Struthio camelus: one gene and its partners. The protein of the gene in region 3 interacts with the protein of the main gene of each other region in a pairwise test. Links are inferred from orthologs where the notes say so. Each region holds a gene or a part of one and is shown on either strand. Other genes may lie near its edges.

Evidence for each region. The genes of interacting proteins can lie anywhere in the genome.
Region 1: the proteins of SP4 (region 3) and NRF1 interact in binary tests that used the Homo sapiens proteins (3 or more experiments, as listed by UniProt). The two-hybrid records come from large-scale screens. The link is inferred for Struthio camelus from reciprocal best matches to the Homo sapiens genes SP4 and NRF1.
Region 2: the proteins of SP4 (region 3) and POU2F1 interact in binary tests that used the Homo sapiens proteins (3 or more experiments, as listed by UniProt). The two-hybrid records come from large-scale screens. The link is inferred for Struthio camelus from reciprocal best matches to the Homo sapiens genes SP4 and POU2F1.

The regions. Positions count from the first base shown.
Region 1 is NC_090942.1:1,752,870-1,760,268, forward strand, and holds the start of NRF1 (nuclear respiratory factor 1), read left to right. Parts: upstream 1-4,190; 5' UTR 4,191-4,348; intron 4,349-4,704; exon of another isoform or gene 4,705-7,399. UniProt on the Homo sapiens protein: Transcription factor that activates the expression of the EIF2S1 (EIF2-alpha) gene. Links the transcriptional modulation of key metabolic genes to cellular growth and development.
Region 2 is NC_090942.1:105,798,230-105,806,294, reverse strand, and holds the start of POU2F1 (POU domain, class 2, transcription factor 1), read left to right. Parts: upstream 1-4,856; 5' UTR 4,857-4,927; coding exon 4,928-4,991; intron 4,992-8,065. UniProt on the Homo sapiens protein: Transcription factor that binds to the octamer motif (5'-ATTTGCAT-3') and activates the promoters of the genes for some small nuclear RNAs (snRNA) and of genes such as those for histone H2B and immunoglobulins.
Region 3 is NC_090943.1:36,661,409-36,669,696, forward strand, and holds the start of SP4 (transcription factor Sp4), read left to right. Parts: upstream 1-4,771; 5' UTR 4,772-5,296; coding exon 5,297-5,303; intron 5,304-5,699; exon of another isoform or gene 5,700-5,883; intron 5,884-5,985; coding exon 5,986-6,086; intron 6,087-6,570; coding exon 6,571-8,128; intron 8,129-8,288. UniProt on the Homo sapiens protein: Binds to GT and GC boxes promoters elements. Probable transcriptional activator.

The DNA.
Region 1 (7,399 bases), on a different chromosome or scaffold from region 3:
TTCTCTCCACACTAGCTTTGTTGATGGGAACAAAAGATTGGATTGACCTAGTCTAGCAGACATGCTAAATGTGCTAGTGAAGGCACGTGTCTCATCCCCTTATGAGAACATAATCTCTCTCTGTGGTTCCTAAAATCTGCAGTGCTTTTTCACAGTTGCAAATCTTCTAGTTTTAACTTAGCCACACTGCCACATAGGGGAAGTCTTCACTGGAGATGATTGACCTTGGGCTCTTTATTTATGTATTGACCCTAGCTTGGCTCCTGAAAACATGTAAAATCTCTGACCAAAGGCTGGGGGTGCTTTCAGGCCAGACCGGTCTGAGGCTACTGGCCAAAGCCCAAAAGCTGCTTACCCTGCTGCTGGTAACCCACCCATTTTACAAAGCAGAGCCAGGCACTCCCAGTCCCCTTATGCTTTCCTATGCATGTCCTACCAGGCAGTGCTTCCTTGTTACTCATCCATCTTCTTGTTCTGCCCCAGAAGTCACCAACCAGAGGCAAGGCGAACTGTTAAAACACACTCGCATCATCTTCTGTCTGATGTCTCTCCCATGATCTCACAGCACCCGAGCAGACACATCCAGAAAAACACCCTGCCAACACACTGCCAGCAGGCTGGGCACCAAGGTGCTGCAGACTTCACAACTTTGCAGAGCTGTAACAGGGTTGCTTACGAACGTGTTCCACCTGGTGGATTAGTAATGTTGTCCACGTGTTATCCCCTTCTACATTTTTCTCCTCCCAAGCCAAGGATGCGGACATGTGAGCCTTCGTGGACCTGCCCTCACTCTTCTGGGCCTGCCCTGTTACCAGAGCTACCTTTTCTCACCCTGCACCATTAGCCCTCACCTAGCTAACCTCCTCCCCCTTTTCGTGTGTGCTGCGTAGGGCAGGTCGTAACAGCCCCCGCATCCCCATAGGAGCGCAAGCCCGGCTCCCTCCCCTTCCGCTGGCCACGTGCACTTTTGTACTTGCAATTAAACCATCTTTTATCGACCTTTTTTATGCAGGATTATGAGTCTATGACGCAGGGCTGTCTGGGCCTAGCTAGGTCTCCATGATAACCTGGGCAAACACAGGCTGACGTTCTGATTTTCAGGCAGGAAGAGTCTTAGCTTGTTCCTACTGGAAGATGTTGCCTCTCTGGAGGACGCTCCTGGTGCATCCCAAATGCATGTCCACGCCATTGCCTCTAGAGAGGTTTGGTCCTGTGTGCACTGTTCTCCTCCGTTTACAGGACTACGGCACTTTGAGAAGGGTGGAAAAACGAGCATGTGCGCCAGGCCCGGCACATTCAGCAGCATTTTCACAAGCGCATGGGTTGATCTGCCCATTCCAAACCAATTAGCAACATGTGGCCATGGAAACATGCAGCTGGACGGGACCCTGAGACGTCATGGCATCCATCCCTCTCCCTGAGGCAGAAGCAACTCTACCTACAGCATTCCTGAGCGGTGTTTGTCTAACCTGTTCTTAAAACCTCCATGGGGGAGATTCCAGAGCCTCCCTCAGCTCGCCCAGTACTATTGTATCCTACCACCATGACATTTTTCTAGTGGTTGATCTAAATCTACTTTCCCATGCTGTACAGCTAGCAAGGAAGTGACCTCCGTCATGCAGAAATCCTGGGCCACTGCTGGTTACACCAGGCCTGCAGAATGGCGCAGCGGCAGCACTTGGTGCTTGTGGCCCTGCTTCAAAGCAGCCGATGAGCGCAAGGGAATTCCACGGCTATGACAGTCGGCATCAGCTGCCTCCACACGTCTGCTGGCAGCCTGTGCCATCGCTTCAGCCAGGCGCTCCCCCGTCTTTGCAAAGCAACAAGCCCCAGCCAAAACACCTCCCAGTTCTGCAAGGAAAGTTGTGTTCATGCCAGCAACTGGAGTAAGTCATTCATTTGGCCTGGATCCATGTTTTGTGCCTACTGGAGACCAGTGACAGAAATGCAGAGCATCCAAAACTCAGAGTGACTCACTTAACTGAGTCCAGGGGCTAAGACAACATCCGTGCAAAAAGCAAAGACGATTCTTCCCACAATGCACTTTGAAAGGTCGCACGTGGCAGCAAAGCCCCTGAAGAAACGCAGGGGAACTGCACAAGCAAGAGCTGGAGCGTGACTTTGCAGAGCGGACGTTCGACCCAGACCTGAGGTTCGACCTGAGGTGCCAATCGCCTCTACAGGGTCTGCGCACCTATCGTCGTTTTCCATACCGTATTCTTGCAGCTTCAGGGGGGATATAATATGGTCATAACTTCCTGCTCTAAGAAGTCTTTTTTTTCTCTTCTGTTTCTTAATAGAAAAAATTGGTTGCTGTGTTCCATTCCACCGATCAGATGACGTAATCTCTGCATTCATCTGACTATCAGTTTATAAAATGTGCAGAGTGCTGCGAGCTGCTAGGCATGTAAGAGGCCTCCATCTTCACAGGGACTAGTACTACAAGCTTTAAAGAAAGCTGTAAAATCCTGATAGCGGATATTAGTATAATGACAGAAATTGTATTATTTGTAGTACAATGACATCCTCGAGGAAGAGGCTTCTAGTAGGCGGCAGTTGGTAAGGTGATGTCCTGAAATTAAAACAGATGATACACATTTTACCCTAACGAGAATAAACTATGATTACTCTAATATGAAAATCTAGTCAATTTTTGACCCACCAGATCTTTGGCAGAGAGTGCATGACACATACACAACATCCTTAATGAAGGGGTATTACTGAAGATATTTTGCTTTCCAAGCTGCAGATCTGGGAAATCACTCATCCCTATACTTTAATGATTCCCTCATAAACCGCTGGCAGGACATGGTAGGAGTGTTTTATTGCTCTGCAAGGGCAACATGCAGGTGTCTCCCCCAAGTCCTCGCGGACTCTGGGATGAACACAGGTCTGCCACGGCACCTTGTGATTTGTGTGCTCGCCGCCTTTGGCGATCCAAAGGTTTCTGCCAACTTTCCTGGTGTCCCTGGGATGAACACAGGTCTGCCACGGCACCTTGTGATTTGTGTGCTCGCCGCCTTTGGCGATCCAAAGGTTTCTGCCAACTTTCCTGGTGTCCCTGGGATGAACACAGGTCTGCCACAGCGCCTTGTGATTTGTGTGCTCGCCACTTTCGGCGATCCAAAGGTTTCTGCCGACTTTCCTGGTGTCCCTGTAGCCGTTCTTGCTGCATCTTCCATGCCATCCCTTAAGCGTGGGAAAAACGTCTTAAATTTGATCACTTTAGTCCATCAGATTCCTTTTTGTAGACTCCGGTCTACAGAAGACGCATTTATACCCGTTTTTATTATTTCCCTCCTCTCCTTTTCTCTTTTAAACCTTCCTCCTTTACGTTTGAGGTCCTATTGAAATCACAAGCTGCTTGGGGACCGGGACAGCCGTTGACCGTGGACATCTTCCAGCAGAACAAGGCCCTGATCCTCAGAGATGTCTCTGAGCTCCAATACCAGACAGCATTACCGTTCGCGTAACCGAAACCCTGATGGGAAGGACCACGGCTGAGTTCAGCTGCTTCGAGCCGGCGGCCCTCGCCGGGTTACTTTGACCTTTTTTTTGGCCCAAATTAGGTCAGCAATCTGGCTTTCCCGTACCACCTCAAAACAGTGCAGGGCAGGTGGCAAACGGAGGTGGGAAAGCGCGACCCAGCCGCGGGCAGCGGGACGAAACGTATTTTAGGCGTTGCAGCCTCAAAAAGGGCCGTCAGAGCGAAGGCGGCTGGAGGCGCGAGGGCCCTGTCCGGCCGGTCTCTGCCGCGGGTCCCCCGCCTCGCTGCGGGGGGACCCTGCTGGGTCCCTTCGCTGGCCTGGCCACGGCCCACCGCTGCCTCCTCAGCGCTCGCCCCGCTGCCCAAACCCCCTTCGCACCTCCACAGTGGGATGGTGCTGAGGGGGAGCCAGGGGTGGGCCGCGACCTCCCCAAGATGGCCCCCCCCGCGGCTCATCCCAACCCACGCGGCGAGAGAAGCCGCGACCTCCCCAACATGGCGCCAACCGCTCCCCACTCCGGCCGCGCGACAGCAGCAGCAGCGGCGGCGGCTCTGCCCTCCCGCACATGGCGCCTCTGGCCCTTCTCATTATGGCGGCGGCGCCGGGCTATGACGCCATACGTCCTCCTCCTCCTCCTCCTCCTCCTCCCCCCCCCTCTCCCCTCTCCCTCCCTCCTTCCCTCCCTCCCCCCCCCCCCGGCCTCCTCCCGCCGCCGCCGCCGCCGCCGGTCCCCGCCTCTCCCGCTCGCCATTGCGGCGGCTCAGGGCGAGCCGCGCCGCGTCCCCGCTCGGCTCCCTCCCCGGCCGCCGCTCTGGCAGAGGCTCCACGGCGCAGGCCCGCTGCAGCGCAGCCGCTCTGAGGTGAGTGTCCTACCGCGCAATCTCCCAGCTCCTCCAGCCCCGGCGCAGCCGCAGCAACGCGGGGGCCCCCGCCGGCCGCCCAGGCACCCCCGGCTGCCGAGCCCGCGCCGCCCCGCCCGCCGCCGCGCCTAGGCCGCGCTAGGCCCCGCCGAGGGGCAGCGGAGGCCTGAGGCGGGCGGCGGGGCCGCTGCCGCCCGGTCGGTGGCGGCCGCTGGTCGCGGCGGTGTGAGGCGGAAGCCGCCGGGGCCCGGGCCGGAGCCGGGGCCGGAGCCGAACGGGCCGCGCCGGTTCTTGCGGCAGGTTCCCGCTTGGAAGGAGGCGGCGGGGAGGGGGCAGTTTGGAGTCATTTGGGCGGCTTTTGTTTTTTGGGGAGGGGGGGGTTGGTCTTGTCTCTTTTCTTTTTATTTTTTAATTTGCTTGGTTCCCTCCTGCCGGTTGGATGCGCGGTGGCTCGGCTCGGCGCTGCCCTTTTGTGCGAGGGGGGGATGAGGGTGCTGCTGGCCTGAATTTTGTCAGTCCGCGCGTGTTTTTTTTTTTTTCTCTTATTCCTTTTTTTTTTTTTACCCCCCTCTGTAATATATCCCCCCCCCCCAAAAAAAAAAAAAGGGTGGAATAAGTCCTGTCTCTTTGTTCTTTGGTGATATACAACGTTTGCCTCGGAGGAGACGCGGCTTCGGGACTGAGGCGGTCGGGACCTCGCTGGGGTAAATAACGATTTCGGGACGGGGACGTTCAGCACGCTCGTCTTCGCCCGTGCGGGGCTGGCTACCAGCTCTGAGCTTTCCGGCGGCTACCGACGGTTTTCGTAAGGCGAGGAGATGTCCGCGCCGCTCTGAGCCTCGCATCTCGGTTTCCTCTCTCCGTTGGAGCCACCAGTTTCCAGATTTGGGTTTTTTTTCTTTCTTTCTTTCTTTCTTTTTCTAAACCACCCCAGGAAGGACGTCGCGGTTCTGGTTGGTGTCGCTGGTGCGTCCGCCGTGCTGCTGTCCAGCCGGAGTTGCGGCCCGCCTGTCCCCAGCGTCGTGGCGCCTGTGCGCGGCCCGTGTTTTTTCCGAGTTTCTTTTGTGGCGCCGCGGCAGCTCGCCCTCGTCCTCACGCCAGCGAGCGCCCTAGCTGGCCTCCTGCGCCGTCGGCTTCGCGGTGGCTCGTCTTTTAAGACTGTTGTATTGGGTTTTTGTTTTTTCTCCCTAGTTAGGTCCTAACCCTGGGAAAATAGAAAGTGGTTGTCTTTTTTCAAATTTAGGAGATCTCTCTGATGAAATTGGGAGCAACAATTTTTTTTTTTTTTTTTCCTCCCCGTTTGTGGAGGGAGCGGAAGTCGCGTGAGGAAGATGTTAACTCAGGAAAGGTCGGGATTATGTTAACTCTTCCTTCGGGGTTTTAACGCTGGCCATCGCAGCTAAGCGTCGTAACGTAGTCTTTAATTATAACGATCTCGTATGCTCGTGTAATTTGGTACATGTGTTTACTATTTTGTAGAGGCTCTGTTTTTTTAATCACGGTTGCTTCTCGGCGGCCTCACGTCACTTATGTACCGGCTTCACCGCGAACGAGGCACGGGCCGTTACGCCTGCGCCGTACACGCAGCGAGCTGAGGGACCCTCTGCCTTACCCACGGCCCGTTTTACGCAGTTCATGCGACTCCGTGTACGGAAAGAGCGTCTGCGTCTTACGAAGCGTGTGGCCCGATGCACGTTTACGGTATACGGGTGGACCGAAGCGTGGCTCTTGTAAAACGTTGTTCGTTGGCGGTCTGGATGTAGCTAGCGTTCAGACGCGCGCGGGCAGTGTAATTTTTGGCTTGGAGCAGTGAAAACACTGGCTTTCGGTCGACTCCAAAAAACTTTCTGTGGGCCGCGTTAACTCGCCGCTGCGTTTCCCCTTCGCGCCTCTCGTGCTGCCCTTAGAGGTAACGTGGCCCCGGCGCGCGCCGGGGAAGGACTGCTTTAGTAGTTCTGGCGGTTTGGGCTGTGGACGTGGGCTGTGCCATCCAAACCGTGGTGTTTGCCAGAACAGCGCATCCTGACGTCAATAAGCTCTCCTGGCCAAAGCCATCTACGCCGCCAGAGCCCGTGGCGTGCGCTGCGTCGGTCAGAGGCTGTCCTTCTGCGTAGCTCGGTCAGGAAAACGCGTGATGTGATGCTGCTCGTGGAAGGATGAAGCGTCGGCGAGTGAAGGCCGCTGCTTTGGGATAAGACTGGCTGCACAGGAGTTTTCTTATTGCACTTCGGTTGTTTCGACTTTCCTGGACGGCAGCTCTATAACTAGTCAGCCGCGCAGATGTCAACTTTTGGACTTCAGGTATTTTGGCTCGAGGACTATTTAAGTGTTGGAATTTTATAATTTTTCTGTTGCGCAGAAGTCTGAATCATCTTTCCTTAGGCTTAAAACAGCCAGTTCCACTTTTGGCTGAGCTCAAGCCTGGAAGATTTCAGCCTCCTAAGTGAAAATAACAAAGAACCACAAATGACAGCAGGAGCTCAGGATGGGAGCGCTGGGGCAGCCTTCGTTGCAAAGCTTGCTTCTAGGCTACGTTTCTGTCAAACTTGTGCTGCCATGTGCGTGTTCGTACTGTGGGAACATTTCCATCACTGCTTCCACCCGCTCTTCGTTCTCCAGCGGAGGGAGATTTCCAGGCAGCCTCTCGGTCTGTTGAAGGATTTGGGAATTTTTACCTTATGCTCCTGTTATCCAGCAAGGGGATTGGAAAAGTATCTTCTGGGACAGAAGCTGAGATGCAGTGGCTCTGTAATGCCCCTGTATCCCTTTTACAAGAAAATTTAACATAGACTTCTGTACGTAAGAGCACTGCGTGCTGTCAGTAGGAATCAGGTAGTGTTGGTCATTTTTCAATGCGAGAAGCACTGTGAAATTTAGCCTTGGACCTTTTCTTTCTTGCTAGTTTTTCTAAAGTAGATCCCTAAGGGGGGGGGGGAAGTAATTAACCTTTTTTATATTGCTGATTACTCAGTGATTGAGTTACTCAATAAAATAATTTTAAAATGTGCTCTTTGGTCTTTCTAAGTACCTCACTCTACATAGTGGTGATAT
Region 2 (8,065 bases), on a different chromosome or scaffold from region 3:
AAACCTGCTCTCCAAGAGATCTGAATCAAGTTGTGGGGTTGTTGGCCCTTTCTGAGTAGAGAGACAGGTAGAGATGGAGCCATCCCTGCAGATCTCAGGGAGAGAATTGATAACATGCCAAACAGGGTCTTTCAGTCAAGGCACAATAGAGACAACCAGGAGCTCCTCTTCTTGGGCTGCCCAGGTGCACATGTAACAGAAGACAAATTACTTAATTTCTCTGCCTTGGTTTGCCATTCATGAAAAAGTGCAGTGATATATCCTGAATCTTCTGAGTCGGTGATTTGTAGGACATAATTGATTAAAATTGGAAGGTGCTCAGATGCCGCATTGATGACAACCATTGAAACGCGTATAAAAAATAGAGCTGGTAAAACTAAGTGCAGTGTAAGTAGCAGAGAGTGAGGAGTAGATTGAAAAACCCACCTGAAAAGATAAGTGTGCTCTTAGTGATTACCTCTCCCTTCCAAGAGGATGTGTGAAGGTTCTGAATTACAGTGTTTTTTTTTTTAATATGAAAATGAAAACCATGTTTCTTTTTCTTTTTGCTCCATCTCCAGAAGAGCAGTTAGCTAGCTTCTGGGAGAGGTAGAGTATTATGAGATGGTACAACTTTTCTGCTACAGTTTCATTAGCTGGGAGATTCAGGGGATCAAGCCAGAACTCTCAGAAATAAGAGATGCTGGGTTATCCTTTCTCCAGTCTAGAGGCAACAAAAGAGGGATAGACAGAACTAGAAAGCAGTTTGGTTGAAAGAAGTCAGAAGATTGTGCAGGGAAAAATAACAATGTATATATGCAACTGGCAGTCTTCATTCCCTTACTGCTGTTTGCATGCAGCAGTCCCAGTGTTCATAGGAAGGAGCTGTGACCAGGGGAGACAACGTATTACTGGAATGAGGTTCCAAGCTGAGGGTGGGAACAGACTGTCTTACTGTGCTCAGGAACAGGAGGCGAAAAAGAAAACAACAAAGGGGAGGAAGGAGAGAGAGCTTTGTGGTTAAAGTGCTGAACTGCACAGCCTCAGCACACCTAGGCTGAGGTCCACTCATGTTTCCACTGTGACCCTGGAGGAACTGTGCATGATCTTTATATTGCTTTTCGTCACTTCCCCTTCTCGACCAGGGAGCTCCTAATCCTATCTTTCCCTCAGTCTTTGTCGGCCATCTCTCGAAATTGCAGGCTTTTTGAGACATGGACTGTCCTTTGCTATTTGTATCTGTAGCGTCTAAAAAAATGAGACTGTAACCTCAGTTGGTCTCTCTGTAAGGGTTTATATTACATGCGAAAAATAGTAAACAGCCAGAGAGAAAAAGAAGAATGTAACTGCAGGTGAGACAATCTAAGCAGTCTAGAGGTGAAAGGAACAGAGGCAGACTGCTCTGAAGCAGAAGTCTCCATTGCAGTATGAAGAAAGTATCTGATCAGCAAAGGAAAGGGAAAGCTGAAGCAAACATGATGCTAGAAACAGGACCTCCTTGAGATGGAGAGAAACCTGATGTGAAGAAAATATAATAGTAGAGACATTGTGTGAAAAAAGCGGTATCAGGGATGCAAATGTGAGTGGCACACTGGAACTGGAACAGAGCAGATAGTTTGTTCTTAGTATCTCTGTACAATAGAGCTGGGTGATGAAAGGGCTAATTTCCTTCCCAATCTGCTTTTTGCAAAATAATGTGATTTGTATTTCATTTGTCCCCTGCCTCCCCACCTTAAAAAATATCCTTGTCTCTAACACACTACTGAATTAATTCTAGCAGGAGAGAAAATTCAGGAGGCAATGTAACCAACATAGAAAATGTATTATAGGCACAAAAAGTAGAGCACAACAAAGGATCTCTGCAGGAGCTAGGAACTAGGAGATATCTGAAAAAAACAAAACAAAACAAAAACCAAAAAAAAAAAAACAGACACAGACATATTGCTGAGCTTTAAAAGATTTCAAAATAAATTTGTACCCTTTACAGTTGTGTTCATTTTGAACACTGCTGTTTTTTGGTGCCAGAAAATATTTTTAAAGCAAAATCCCTGAGAAAAATGATTCTGCGAGGTAGACAAGTCCGTTCAGAGAACAAAAACACACAATGTCCTGCAAGGGGCTCACTGCTTTGGCTCTGTTTTAGCAAAGCACGTAAGCATGTTCTTAACTGCAAGTATGAGAACAGCCTCATTGTCTGCAGGTGAATAACTCCTCAGAGCTACAACCTAAATATTTTTGTGAAATGAGGCTAGAGTGCTCGGCTTCTCTTACGTTAAGCTTTGTATCATTTTTGTGTCCAATTAGCTCAAATTTCAAATATTCCCAACAAGCTCCTCATGAATAAGATGCCAGAAGAAGTTTGTAGAAATCACAAGCTGTTTGCAGACAATTCACAACTGAAGTAGAGGTAAAATTTATCTGATAAATTATTCATCGCAAATGATTTGGCTGGCTTTCCTGGATATATAGCCATGGGGATGTATGACACCTTGGGGAAGGCATCAGACAGAGATATGTTCAAACTAAACTAGAGAAGAGGATGCAGATGTAGATCTAGAGCAATCTTTAAAAAGGGAGGGGAGCAGATACGTGCCGAAATGGGATGGAGTTCTCCTCTTTATAGCCAGTCCATTAGAAACACAGCATCCGTTAGTAACTACTGGTTACCAGAAAAAATGGTAACACATGGGTTTGCAGAGAGCTATTCTTTGGCAGCTGTGGGGTGCAGCTAACTGGGCAGAAGCTGAGTGAGAGCAAGGACTAAATCAGGTGTGCGAGTGGGAGCAAATTCTCCCTGAGAAGAGGCTGCTATCAGGGAGGAGGTTCCTAGGAAGTAGCCTGCAGGAGTGAGACGAGTCTAAGGGTGAGATGGGAAGATACGGGGGAGAATATTCAGCGTCGGCAGGATTAGAGCTGTGCAGAGTCTTAATCTAGCTAGCCCTTTCTCTACACCTTTATCTGTCGTGGTGCAGCCACTGCGTGCAGCAGGGCTGGTATAACCTGGCCATAAAACTGGATTAACTGGCCTGCGAGGATCACGCCTGAACAGAAGAGCAGCATGACAATATGCTGTTGTTTACATTTTCACTTCTGTGAGTTTAAAAATAGATCTTCTGAAAGACAAAGTGCTTAATTACTGGCATGGAGTATCATCAAATGAATGTGTAAGTATAGAATTACAGTGTTAGGGAAAGGTCTCTGCTGTTTCATAGCACAGTCCATTTCCACTGGTGTTTTCTGCAGTATTGGGAGGTTATTTTATGATATGGAAGAATCCTCCATTATCAGAGAAAATTATTTTTAAATAAAAATGTGCAAATTACCTTTCTGATTGAGCCTGCACAGAGAAACCCTGCTGTCTCCCTCCCTCAGCCTTTCCTTTTTGGCTCTTCTAGCGACTGCCTCTGATACAAGTCATAATTTTCTCCAGCAAAGCAAGCAACGGTGGATTCTTGCCACTTCTCTGATTTCACAAGGTTTTAAGCCCCTCAAGAAAGTCTGGCTTGGACTCTGACGCATTGGAGTTAATGAGTCTTGGAAAACGGTAGACTAAGTTCTTAATGAAAACTATCCTATATCTTCTATTCCCTTTTTTTTTTTTATCATTATACAAATGTACATTACCAAGCTCAGGAATAATATATATTTATGCAATCTAACGCTTAAAAATATTAGCATGTTTTATTATTGCTCTGCCTAATTTGTCAAGTATAAGCAACACTTTGTTTCTTTAGCCTATTTAGCTTATTGCTTGTGCTGATTTGGAAGTTTTGAACCTAAAGCTGATTTTATTTGTGGGTCCCTCTGCTCTCTTAGTGTTTGCTGTACACTCTTTTAAGGTGTGTGTTGGGGGGAAGCACAAAGCCTGACTCCCCTTTCCTTTTGGGTTAGTCAAATTTGATGCAGAGCGTGGAAGAGGAGAAAATACTCGTTTGAGAAAGACACCGCAGGAGCTTTGCGCTGCCCAGGACTAGGGATGCGTCAGGGAGGGCTTCTGAAGAGGAGACTCATCTCCTTGTCATGGCTCTTCTCTGAAGGAGTAACAGACCACGGACCACGGCTGACGCACCCCTCCTCGGCACAGCACTGAGGGTCCTGTTATTTCATTTCTTTGTATTCGATTCCTTTTTATTCACAGGGGATTAATTTTGCTTGCAGCTCGGGGAACTACCTGTCTGGCAGATAACAGTTATGACGGGTGTTTCCCCAGAACAGCTCTTCTTGAAATGCCGTTTCCAGCAGCCTCACGCTTATATTTGAACGTGTTTGCGTCCAGCCGCTCCTCTTTTATCTACCGTGATTAACTGTTTGTGCGGCTCCCGAAAGGCCCGGTGGCCGAACAGTTAATAAAAAACGGATGAGGCAGGGTGGGAGTTGTTCCCCGTTGCGGAGGGCGGCTCCTGCCTGGCGCCCGCGCTGTGCCCCCGGCCGGCGGCGCCGCGACGCCCTCTCCCCCGCTCTGCGCCATTCGCCGCCCGCCCGGCCCCCGCCAGCCCCAGTGCGCAGGCGCCGTGTCCCCCTTCCCTTCCCTTCCCCCCCCCCCCCCAAGCGCGGGGAGGCGGGGGGGGGGGGCTGAAGCGCTGGTGCGCGCGGCGCGGCGGTTTACACGTTAACGAGGCCTGGGCCAAAGGTGAAGGGAAGGGAATCCAGCGCCTGCGCGGTGGCGCGCGAAGCTGGGCCGGGGGGGGGGGGCGAGCGAGGTAGGCGCATGCGCGGCGGCTGTCGGGAAAGCGGCTGGGGCGGGCGGGAGAGGAGGAGGAGGAGAAAAGAGGGGGAAGAGAGGGGCGCGCGCAGGCGCAGAGCGAGGCAGCGGCGCGGCGAGTTGGCGGCTGCGCGGTAGGGGCGCGGGGGGGAGGGGGGTGAGCGGCGGCGGGGGGAGGGGAGGGGGAGGGGAGGAGGGAGCGAGGGAGGGTTTATCGGGCGGCCGATTTTGGTTAAAATATTCAAAATGGCGGACGGAGGAGCAGCGAGTCAAGATGAGAGTTCGGCGGCGGCGGTGGCGGCAGCGGCAGGTAATCATTACTGCATTTTACATATTCATATTCATACTCGCACACGCGGCCCCCCCGCCGCCCGCCCGCCCCGCTTAGCATAATTTATTAGTACTCAGGATTATTATAATTAACGGCACAGGAGGGAGCAAGGAGGGAGGGGGGGGGAAGAAGGAAAGCAGTTTCCCCGTGCGGGGAGACACACACACACGCGCGCACACAGACACACACACACAGACACACACACACACACACGCACACACAGCGGCACACACATACTCACACACGCTCCCTCCCTCGCACTCGCGCCCGCCCGGCCGGGCACCGGCGCCGGGGCAGGCGGCGGGGCCGTTGGGGGGCGGCGGCGCGGGCGGCGGCGGCGGCAACGGCAGCGCCGAGGCGGTGGGGTCGGGGGGGGGGGGTGAGGTGACGGCGCGGGGAGGGAGAGAGAGAGAGCGGCGGCAGCAGCAGGGGGGAGGAGGGGGCAGCGGGCAGCCCCGCACCAGAAAGCGGGCGGCGGCGGCGGCCAACCGGACTCCCCCCCCCCCACCCCAACCGCCGGCCCGCACGCCCACAATAAAAGCCGCTTTACATATTCATGGGGGGGGGGGGGGGAGAGACTGGGGCGGCCGCGCTGCGGGGTTTGGGATGGGGGGGGGGGGGGGAAGGCCGGCGGCGGCGGCCGCCTGCCGCTGCCCCCGAGCGGGGCAGGATCCGCCGCTGGGGCAGCGTGGAGGAAAGGGATGGAAGTGCGCGCCTGGCTTGGGGGTGAGGGGGAAAGGCTAGGGTTTCCCCCCCCCTTCCCCCCAGCTGAGGTTATTTCCCCAGAGCCTGAGGCCTGCAGGCGTGGGGTGGATGGGTGCGGATGGCCTCAAGGAGGGGGTAGGGCGAGAGAGAGCTGGGTTTGGATGTTATTTAAAGCTTCCCCCCTCTCCTCTCCTCCCCTCCCCCCCCCGCCAAGGGTAGGGTTCAACGTGGGGTGGCTCCTCTTGGCGGGGTGGCGGAGTTTCTCCGTGGCCCCCTCTCCGAGGCGAGAGGCAGGCTGTTTGCAGTGGGGCGGGCGCGATGTGCCCACCCAGTATTTGCCCTTCTGCCCCTTCAGACTCTCGGGGGCTGCGGGCGCCGCGGCCGGGGTGCCGGGAGAGCCGGCCGGCCGGCCGGCACGGGGGTGCGGGTCCTGCTTCTTTCTGCCTCTCTCCCTCTCTCTCTCTATCTCTCCTTCTCTTTCTCATTTGAATAATGTCTAATTCGGGGAGGTTTATATTATTGAAATGGCCGCCTGGCTTTCCCCGCCTCTCATGTTTAGTAATTCAGACCTTTAATAACAGCCACTCAGAGCCCAACGCCGTGTTTATATTTTACATTCGCCCCATGTGCTTTTGTGGTTCAATATGATTCTTCTTTCTCGCTCTCTTGCTTTTTTTAAATTTTCTTGGCAACCCACAGGGCCCCGAGATCAAACCCAGGCTGTGTGAGGAGAGGAGGGGGGAGAGCTAGGCCCTGGTTCCTCTGGCAGGCGCCTAGGCCTCACTCTGCCGCTTGATTTATTTACTAATAACCAAAATGACCCCCCCATCCCCACTCCACCCCTGCCAGCAAAAACAAAACCCTCCTGGGGCTTGAGCAGCATCAGATCTGCTCATAGATTCTCAAACACTCATGTCTTTTAAATAAGAAGCTTATTTTTAATTTATAGCAACTCAGGACTGTAAAGCTGTTCCTTTCATATCTGCTCTTCAGAGGCTTGGGCATTTTTGGTCCCTTTGTCCTTGATTCTTTTCCTTAAAGGAGAGTTGCTTCTAATTTACGTTTCCTGGCACTGAGAGAGCTATAGAAGACACACTCAAAATCTAAACAGCTTTCCTCCTTCCTGTGGACACAAACAGAATTGAATACATTGAAGATAATCTTATTCTCCTTTTTGCTTAGTGTGGATGCAGTTTAACAGTGCTGTGTGTCAGATGCTTTTGTCACTGCTTGTATCTTTGACCATTCTGAGTTTTTTTTTTTTATTTAGATTTGGCTTCCATGACAGAAGATGCTACTAGGCAGTACAGGGTCTAGAAAGCAAGATAAGTTTTTTTTTTTTTTTGTGTGTGTGTGTGTTTGTGTCATAAGTTCATCAAGTGAAAATTGAAATTAATCCTCTTAAATTGTCTGGAGTAATTCTGTTCTAAAGTAGATATTAGGCTACTTAGAAAACAGATGAACTACTTTTTTAGCAAGAGGCAGTAATTTTTTAAAATTCATTTATGCAGGTATGGCCTTCAGATAAAACTAGATTTTTTCATTAATGACCATTGTTTCCACCCTGTGGAGAAAAAGGACCTGACAGCAGGGTACTTTTAAAGTGGCTGTGCCAGATTAGCATGTAAACGTCTTTGAAGCATGACTAGGTAGAGAGTTCATATACATGTGCAGCCAACATATTTTGTAGTTTGGTTCTAAATTTAATTTGTTACAAAACACTAGATTGTAGCTAATGAAAAGCATTTTGATTTCAAAAATAACAACTCAGATTATTTTTCCTTTTTCTTCACCCTTGGTGAAGACAGGCCTTGAATACTATAAGAAAAGATCTGTAGAAGAGAGTAATGAGACTGTTCAGGTGACTGACTGTTTCACAGACCAGCAGCACAAGGCTGGCTGGACAAAAAGCAGTAATATGATTTCATGCCTTAAACAGCATATGTTTTTGCACTCGCTTCACAAGATGTGGTCAAGCCGATGATGTCATTGGCCAGAGGACAAGGTGCAGTTAATTTGATTTATTGACCTGGGGTGAGGTGTAGCACTGAAACCTTCTCATAGGGAAACCATTTATCTGAGGACAATTTCCTTTATAGCAGCAATTTAACCACTGCTGAGACTCTAGATGTTTTATCCAGCATGATAAAAATGTACATTGCATCTTGCAAACAAAATTTCATTCTCACTGACATTTTAGTAATTTTTATGGAATAGATTACTGGATAAGTGGCCTTGTGTAGTCATATGGCTGAATTGGGGCTTGTGACCCTGAATTCAGTTATTTACATGCTGAAATATTCCTCTCAAACGGACATTTGTGTGCCTGTGTTGTACCTTAAATTTTT
Region 3 (8,288 bases):
ATGAGACAGCAAAGTTGCAGTTACACCAGGTGCTACCTTCTGCATAGTGAGATACTGTGACTGATGACAAAGATAGGATCCCTTTCAATGATGTGTCTGGCTCTGTGAGATGAGTTCTACAAAAACGGGTGGTTCAGCAGTGAAATGAAGATCTTCAGGGAGCACAGCAGTCATGGGAGGTTTGTGTAAGTTCAGCCCTTATTTGATGAGGTAATGACTAGTATAAGATTGTGCTGCTGAGCACATAGGCAAGGTTAACAGTAGTCATGTGCAAACTCAAAATGTATTCCCACTATACAAGTGCTCTGGCAGCATGCTGCATTTGGAAAATTATCAGTAAGCAAGGTTATGAAAACTACCATCTGACTAAGAAGTGCTGGCAGACTTTTCTTGGATACGCTTTCTCAACTGCCTCAGGGTCATAGCATTCATTTTTGCCTTTGGTCTTTCTGGAGTTAGGATTCTTGACCCCAGTTCTGTTTGAGGTCCCCCAGCTTGACGCATTCACACAGAGATGGCGCTACAGAATTCGTTCTGTTTGTTCCCATGGTGTTTTCCATGGATGTTTTCCACAGCATGTTCTCCACAGATCTTTTCCACGGAATCCAAACAGGTTAAGTACCTCTGACTTGGTCCACTTGGGATCATGTGGAACAATGTCTAGGGAGCCTGCTTGCCAAGTACACAATTTCCACTGTGGCTCTGGTCCAGGCTCTGTCTGATCAGTAACATTATGCCATCGCCAAAATCTTCAAAGCTGGTGTTATTGGAGCCAAGATAGTTTACAACAAAACACTGGAGTCCAGCAAGGGCCCAGATAAAAGGGGGAAAATATGCACTAAACCATGAAAGTGATTTCCTGTAAGCTTTTGAGTTCCAAAACAAAGGAGCACTACGAACAGAAAGGGGACATGAAGAATTAGCAAAAGAGCCTTTGGGCTGGCCAAAAAAGGTTCTTTCAGAAATGTGGATATCTGATACCTGGTCTTGCATAATCCTGCCAAACTAAAACTACTCTCTTATTTATTTATATATTCGCACAAGCACCACCTTTGGTCAGAGTGATTTTATACCACTTCAGTATTTTTTGTCTAAGGGCTGAAGCATTTTTAGTCTCATACTAGCTACTCTACAACCACATTTACAGTTTTGTGAAGCCACAGCCTCTGCTGTTTACAGCTGCTGCCTCTTGGCTCTCTCTGTCCAAATGCAACCTATGTAAATGCTGAGAGATAGTAGAGAGGTTAACCAATGAAACTGGAGCATGCAGCCAGCTGTCTCTCCCTCCCCCTTCACGCCCCTCTCTTTTTTTTCTTTGTAAAGATATTTAGGTATTACTCTAGTCAGCATTACAAACCTCGCAGTGCTCAGCAGAGCAATGCCTAAACACACAAAAATCTAAGTCAGTGTGTTATGAAGAATAAGGCATACGATAAGGCTTAGAGGGCAAGCTAAAAGTGATGTAAAAGAAGATACAAGATAATTCTGGAGCAAAAACAAGAAATACAAAAGAGAAGTAGGAAACTTAGGTAGAAGAATATTTCTGAGGTGGAGAAAACAGTGGGGATAAGAACCACGAAAGACAGCAGCATGTAAAAAAAAATGGGAAAAGCAAGATCCAGGGATGTAACTCCACAGAGAAAAAAGTTAGAAATAGAGAAAATGAAAGCAAGTTACTAAGGAGTGGCATCAAAAGATTAGAATTCCAGAAACAAAACTTAGAAGAATAGCTAAGCAAGAGAGACAGAAAATTCCACATTTGACACAGAGAAGGGATAATTAAAAAAATTAAAAGGAAGGAACTAAACCCTTAGTGATGACACTAAAAACATATATATACACAATAAGAGAAATGAAAAGGAATCGAGACTCAGCACTATGTGGATTTTATTAGTTTGGGCCCTAGTGCAAACTAGGGATACTATGCCCGAACTAAGTCTTGCCAGGAACCTTGCATTTAAGTGGGCCTCCGCTCAATGAGGCACTTCCGTACTGTGGTCTGTCTCACAATGTCAACATGTTTTTGAAGTTCTAAGCACAAAAGAAATTTGTGATGAAAACTTTTTCATTTTATTTTTTCCTGTTTCTGATACTTTTCTTTCATCTCTCCCAATAGCATGTGGAACTCCTGTGTCAATTGATACATTTTATCAGGCCTAATCTTAGTTCTGTTTAAATCCACAGCTGACTTTCATGAGAGCTCACAAAGACCAACTAGTATGAGGGTGCACAAGGTAAGCACTGGTTCATGTGGGAACTAAGCTGAAAGAAGCATGCTCAGAAAGCTTGAGTACCAGTTGGTGGAAAGAATTTGAAGAAGACTGACATTTGGAATTTGGGAAAGAGTAGGTGGTATAGGAGAGTAACTGTGGATGGTAAAAATATATAAAAATCATGATGCCCCTACTGAAACCACCTACACCACCACCATCTTTTATCTGTCTCTTCAATCACATACTGAGTTGAGAGAAAGCTTTTACTGTTTGCACCCTAGGGCCAGTTTTTCAAAAGTTCTGTACCTACAGATGTAGATTGGAATCCCGTGAAAGTTTAAATCTTTTGTATGACTTTTGTATGTAAATCTTTTGTATAACACCTCTCACTGAAAAGGAGCAGCCTTGCTAATACATTTGCCCGTTCTTTATGCACCGCCTCCTTCCGGAGGTGCTTTGTACATTGCACCTGCAGGCTGGGGTTGCCCTGACCCACCTCACTTAAGACCTACCCTCGCTGCTCCTGGGCCTAGAAGCTCCCCCGGAGCTCGGCGCTGGGCCCCAGACCTGCACCACAACGACCTCGCAGCCAGGCCCATCCCCGTCTCCTGCCCTTCTGGCTTGCCAACTGGACTTGCCGAGGTGACGCTAAGCCTGATTCATCACCTCACCTGGGCTGAGGACCACTGGATAGTGGACAGATCCTGTCACTGTCACCACCCTGGACCTGTGGAGACGTAGTGGGACTGCGCCCTGCCCGCAAGGGCACTGCTCTGCTGGTGCTGAGATCACCCCAACTGTGTCTCCCTCCCGGAACAGCCCCCACTCTGCCTGCTCTGACACTGCCTATGAAAAGGTGTCAAGTTTTGGCTGAGCTATAAGCTATGGCATATTACTGTTTGCTTTTCTAAATATAATTTACTCAGCATTTGTAAGGCCATTTCCTGATGCATCTGCTTGTGACATGTGTATCCAGAGTGCGTACAACGCCTAATAACAGCCTGCACCACTTGTCTTTCTGATCATTTTCTTACTGTATGCAGGACATACTTGGTATTTCTACATTTCCTTTATTCCAGAGGATGTGCTGAAGGCCTGACATGGAGATTAAGAGCTTCCTCAGCCTTTCGAAGGACAAAGCTGTTGGACATCTGGTGAAGAAATTATTTGTCCCACACTTTTGTCATTAATTTGTGGTGAATGGGTGCTTTGTATTGTTTGATTGACAAAATTTGGTATGTATTATAAAAAAATTAAACCTGCCAAGCAGCACATCTATACTGCTACTGTCATATTTCTTCCAAATTCAAATTGGGTTAACAGGCTTAATCATGTTCCCAGTTCTTGCAAATCTACATGTCTTCCCATCACACCTCCATGTACGATGCCTTTTAACTTACCCAGTTATCTTTCTGAGTAAGTCAGGGAGAGTGGGCAACACCACTGACTCACACGCATGCACACAGACACACACAAGGAACAGAGTGTAAGGGAACTGGAGAAAAACTTAGAAAAGAAACAACAAGCACAACGATAATTTATCTGTTTTTCATGTCATGATGTCCAAGCTGGCCCACCACAGGCTTCTGAGCACCACCTACAGCTTTGCGAATCTGAAGTAACATTTAGGTGAAGCTTTCAGTTGAGCTTATTGACCTAGAGCCCCTCTCTCCCCCTAGCCCCAACCGCCCCGCCCAGGCCAACGGCTGGCAGAGGCACCGTAACGGCACCTGGCTAGTAGAACGCCCGTCCCCCCCCCCCCCCCCCGCAAACGCCCGCCTTCCTCTCTGCGCATGCGCAACCGCCACTCTACGCGCCCCCGAGCCCGCGCCGCAACCTGAGCCCAGAACTACACGTCCCGGCGTGCCCCGCGCCTCAGCCAGGCCAATGGAGCGGGAGAACACACGTTCCCGCCTCCTCGCCCCTGGCTGCGGGAAATATCCCCAGCAGGTGTGAAAGAAGTCCCTGGATCCCTGGCTGCCCTTCCCCCTCCTTCCCAGGGGTCCCTCTAAGCCGGGCTCACGGGGCACAGAAAGCCCACTAGCAAGGCTGCTACAAATGAATAGCAGAACGAATGGTGGGGAGGGGGGGAGTGGGCCTCGGCTTCCATGGAAACCGCTGGGGTCCTTCCTCCCCCTCCCTAACCGTGCGGGATGGGGAAGGAGAGCGCGAGCCGGGTAACGGGCGGGGGGTGGGGGGAGGAAGAAAGGAGGGGGGCGCCCGAGGGGAAGCTGTGGCGCGGCTTCCCGCGCGCTGTCAGTTACGAGCGCGCGAGGCGGGCAGGTGCCGCCGGGTTGGCCAGCGCCCCGCGCGCGCCCGCCCGCCCCCTCGCCGGATTCGCTGCTCGCGCGCGCCCGCGCGCTGTCAATCAGCGCCCGACCCGCCGCCGCGGGCCGCGGGGAGCCTAAAGGCTACGGCTCGGCCGGGGCCCGCCCCGCCCCGCGGGCTGTCAAGAGCGGCACGAGCGCGGGGGAGCCCCGGCCGCCCGCGCTCAGGGCAGCCGCTGCCCCCGCCCCCGCCGCGCGCGCGCGCCTCCGTAGCCACGCCCCCTCCCGCCCGGCGCGAGGCGCGGGCGACAAGGAGGAGAAGAAGAGGAGGAGGAGGAGGAGGAGGAAGACGGCAGCGGCGACCACCCTTCTTCGGCCCTGCTGGGGCCGGGCCCGCCGGGCGCTGCGTCCCGCCCCTGACCCGCCTCCTCTGCCTCCGGCGTGGGGAGCCGGGCTGAGGCGGAGAGGGGCTGCCGAGAGGCTGGCGGCTGGGCTCGGTTTCCTGCTCAGTGGGCGTCAGTTGGGCCCCGCCGCGCCCCGCCCCCTCCGCCGCTCTCCCTGCCCCTCGCCGCCCGGCCGGCCGGCTCGGAGCTGTCACTCAAGGCGGCGGGCTGAGGCCGGCGGCGGCGGCGGGCGGAGAGACAGGCAGCTACGCCACAGCCCAGCGGCGGCCATTCGTGGAAAAATAGGCCGTCCCGCTCCTCCCAGCTCCGGCTGCGACCGGCCTTCTCCCCGCTACCCCCACCCCACCCTCCGCCTCCTCCTCCTCCTTCTCCTCCCCCCTAGAGCGGCGCCTCAGCGGGGCATTAATGCGGGATGAGCGGTATGTAACCCCCTCCCTCTCTCCCTCCTGTGCACACCCCTCCCTCCCTCCGCTCCTCCCTCCACCCTTCATCCCCCCTCTATCCCGCCCTCCCGGGTTCCCCCTTTTCTTCCCTCATTCTCCCCCTTGCTACCCCGCCCTTCTTCACTCTTCTTTTATTGCCCTCCACCCCTCTGTTCTTCTTCCTCTCATACCCCCTTTCTTCTCTTCCTCCGCTGTGTGCCCCTCTGACTTGCCTCCTCCGTTCCTCCCTCCTCCATTCCCCTTTTCTTCGCTATCCCTCCCTCCTGTGCACATCCCTCCCTCCTTCATTCCTCTTTTCCTCCCTCTTTCCCTCCCCTGCTCAACCCTCCTCCTGCCCCCTAAAGCATCGACGGCCACTCAGTGGCCGTCGATGCTTTAGGGGGCAGGAGGAGGAGGAGGGTTGTGGGTGGTTTTTTCCTGCTGTCTCTGGGAGAGGAAACCAAACCTCCCCTTTCTGGGTGTTAACTCTCCAGCCCCCATGGGTTGGGTTTCAAACCACGTTTCTTAGGACTCGTTCTTTTGTAATAATGCTTTGCACTGTTGTTTTCATGAAGAGGTAAAGGCGAGAAGCAGGGAACCAAAAATGATATGCGCATAGGTTTTGTTATTGTATAAATGAAGGTGAATAATTAACCTGTTACACTTGATATTTTTGCAGATCAAAAGAAGGAGGAAACTATGCCCACAGAGGGAGAGAAATCTCCCGAGGCAGAAAATAGCAGCAATAATAATAAAAAAGGGAAAACTGGAGGCTCACAGGTAAAGCACACACACCCAAATAGGGAAGTACCCAAATTATTATCATTTAAAATGAAATGTTCAGCTAATAGTATTTCCTGCTTAGGGCATCTTTCTTTGGGTTGGATGAAATATAGTTGATTGAGTGAAATATCTTTACTGCCTGGACATGTTTTTTGTTTGCATTTTAGAGTGATCAGCTGCTTTCCATATATTACAGATGCTCTTTTTTATTCACTTTTTAATTCCTCTGGGGGGAGGGGGAAGATTGGAGGGAGGAAGAAATGGTCCTGGCTGTCACATATTCATTGATAACTGGTGGCCTTATGTTTAAAAATTATTTACAGGAACATGTACTTCCTCATTCAGAGCTGTGTGATTGGTCTCCGTATGTAGAAACACTCTTCCCCCCCCCCCCCCACTTCCTGTGTAAATTTGAATAGTTATTTCTGATGGTTTGTGTTCATGCTCTTCTGAATCTGCTCCGTTTTTCCTTTATGGATAGGATTCTCAGCCTTCACCTCTGGCTTTGCTAGCAGCCACTTGCAGCAAAATAGGAACTCCTGGTGAGAATCAAGCAACTGGACAACAGCAGATTATTATAGATCCAAATCAAGGTTTGGTGCAGCTTCAAAATCAGCCACAACAGTTAGAATTAGTAACAACTCAGCTTGCTGGAAACACTTGGCAGCTTGTTGCTGCTGCTCCTTCTGCTTCAAAAGAGAATAATGTTGCTCAACAAGGATCCTCTGTTGCCTCGAGCGCAGCTAGTCCCTCCAGCAGTAACAATGGAAGTTCATCTCCTTCAAAAACCAAATCGGGGAATTCTTCTGCAACAAACCCTGGACAATTTCAAGTCATTCAAGTACAAAATCCAAGTGGCAGTGTCCAGTACCAAGTGATCCCACAGATTCAGACAACAGAAGGTCAACAAGTTCAAATCAATCCTGCTAATGCTACTGCTGTACAAGATATACAGGGTCAAATTCAGCTTATTCCTGCGGGGAATAATCAAGCTATCCTCACAGCTGCAAACAGGACAGCTTCGGGGAATATTATTGCTCAAAACCTAGGAAATCAGACAGTTCCAGTCCAAATTAGGCCTGGTGTTTCCATACCATTGCAGCTGCAAACTATTCCTGGTACTCAAGCACAGGTTGTAACAACTTTACCTATAAACATTGGTGGAGTAACCCTAGCATTGCCTGTGATAAACAATGTCGCAGCAGGAGGAGGTTCTGGACAAGTTGGCCAGTCTACTGAGAGTGGAGTTTCCAATGGAAGTCAGCTAGCATCTACACCTGTCACCACTGCCTCCGTTAGTACAATGCCAGAATCTCCTTCCTCATCTTCCACTTCTACGACTACTGCCTCAACATCTCTAACTAGCGGTGACACTTTAGTAAGCTCTGCAGAAACAGGCCAGTACACAAGCACAACAGGTAGCAGTTCAGAGCAGACAACTGAAGAACCTCAAACAACTGCTACAGACTCTGAAGCCCAGAGTTCCAGTCAGCTCCAGTCGAATGGACTACAGAACGTTCAGGATCAGTCAGGTTCCCTTCAGCAGGTCCAAATTGTAGGTCAGCCCATTCTGCAGCAAATACAGATCCAGCAGCCTCAACAGCAGATTATTCAGGCCATTCCTCCACAGTCATTTCAGCTCCAGTCAGGGCAAACTCTACAGACCATCCAGCAGCAGCCTTTGCAGAATGTTCAGCTGCAGGCAGTGAGTCCAACTCAGGTGCTCATTAGGGCTCCAACTTTAACACCATCAGGGCAAATCAGCTGGCAAACTGTACAGGTTCAGAATCTACAAAGCCTTTCCAATCTTCAAGTTCAAAATGCTGGGTTACCCCAGCAACTAACCATTACCCCTGTATCTTCAAGTGGTGGCACAGCTATTGCTCAGATTGCACCAGTAGCTGTTGCTGGTACGCCAATCACACTGAACGCTGCCCAGCTTGCTTCAGTACCTAATCTCCAAACAGTAAGTGTCGCCAACCTGGGTGCTGCAGGAGTTCAAGTTCAAGGAGTTCCAGTTACCATTACCAGTGTTGCAGGTGAGTGGTCTGACAAAGTATTTTACTACTGCAAGAATATCAGATGGTTTCTTAATGCTTTTTTTTCAGGCTTTCTGTAGTAAATTTGAAACCCTTAACTGTAAACCTTATCACTAAAATTCAGGATTTCAATGTAGCTGACACCTCTCCTAAACACTGA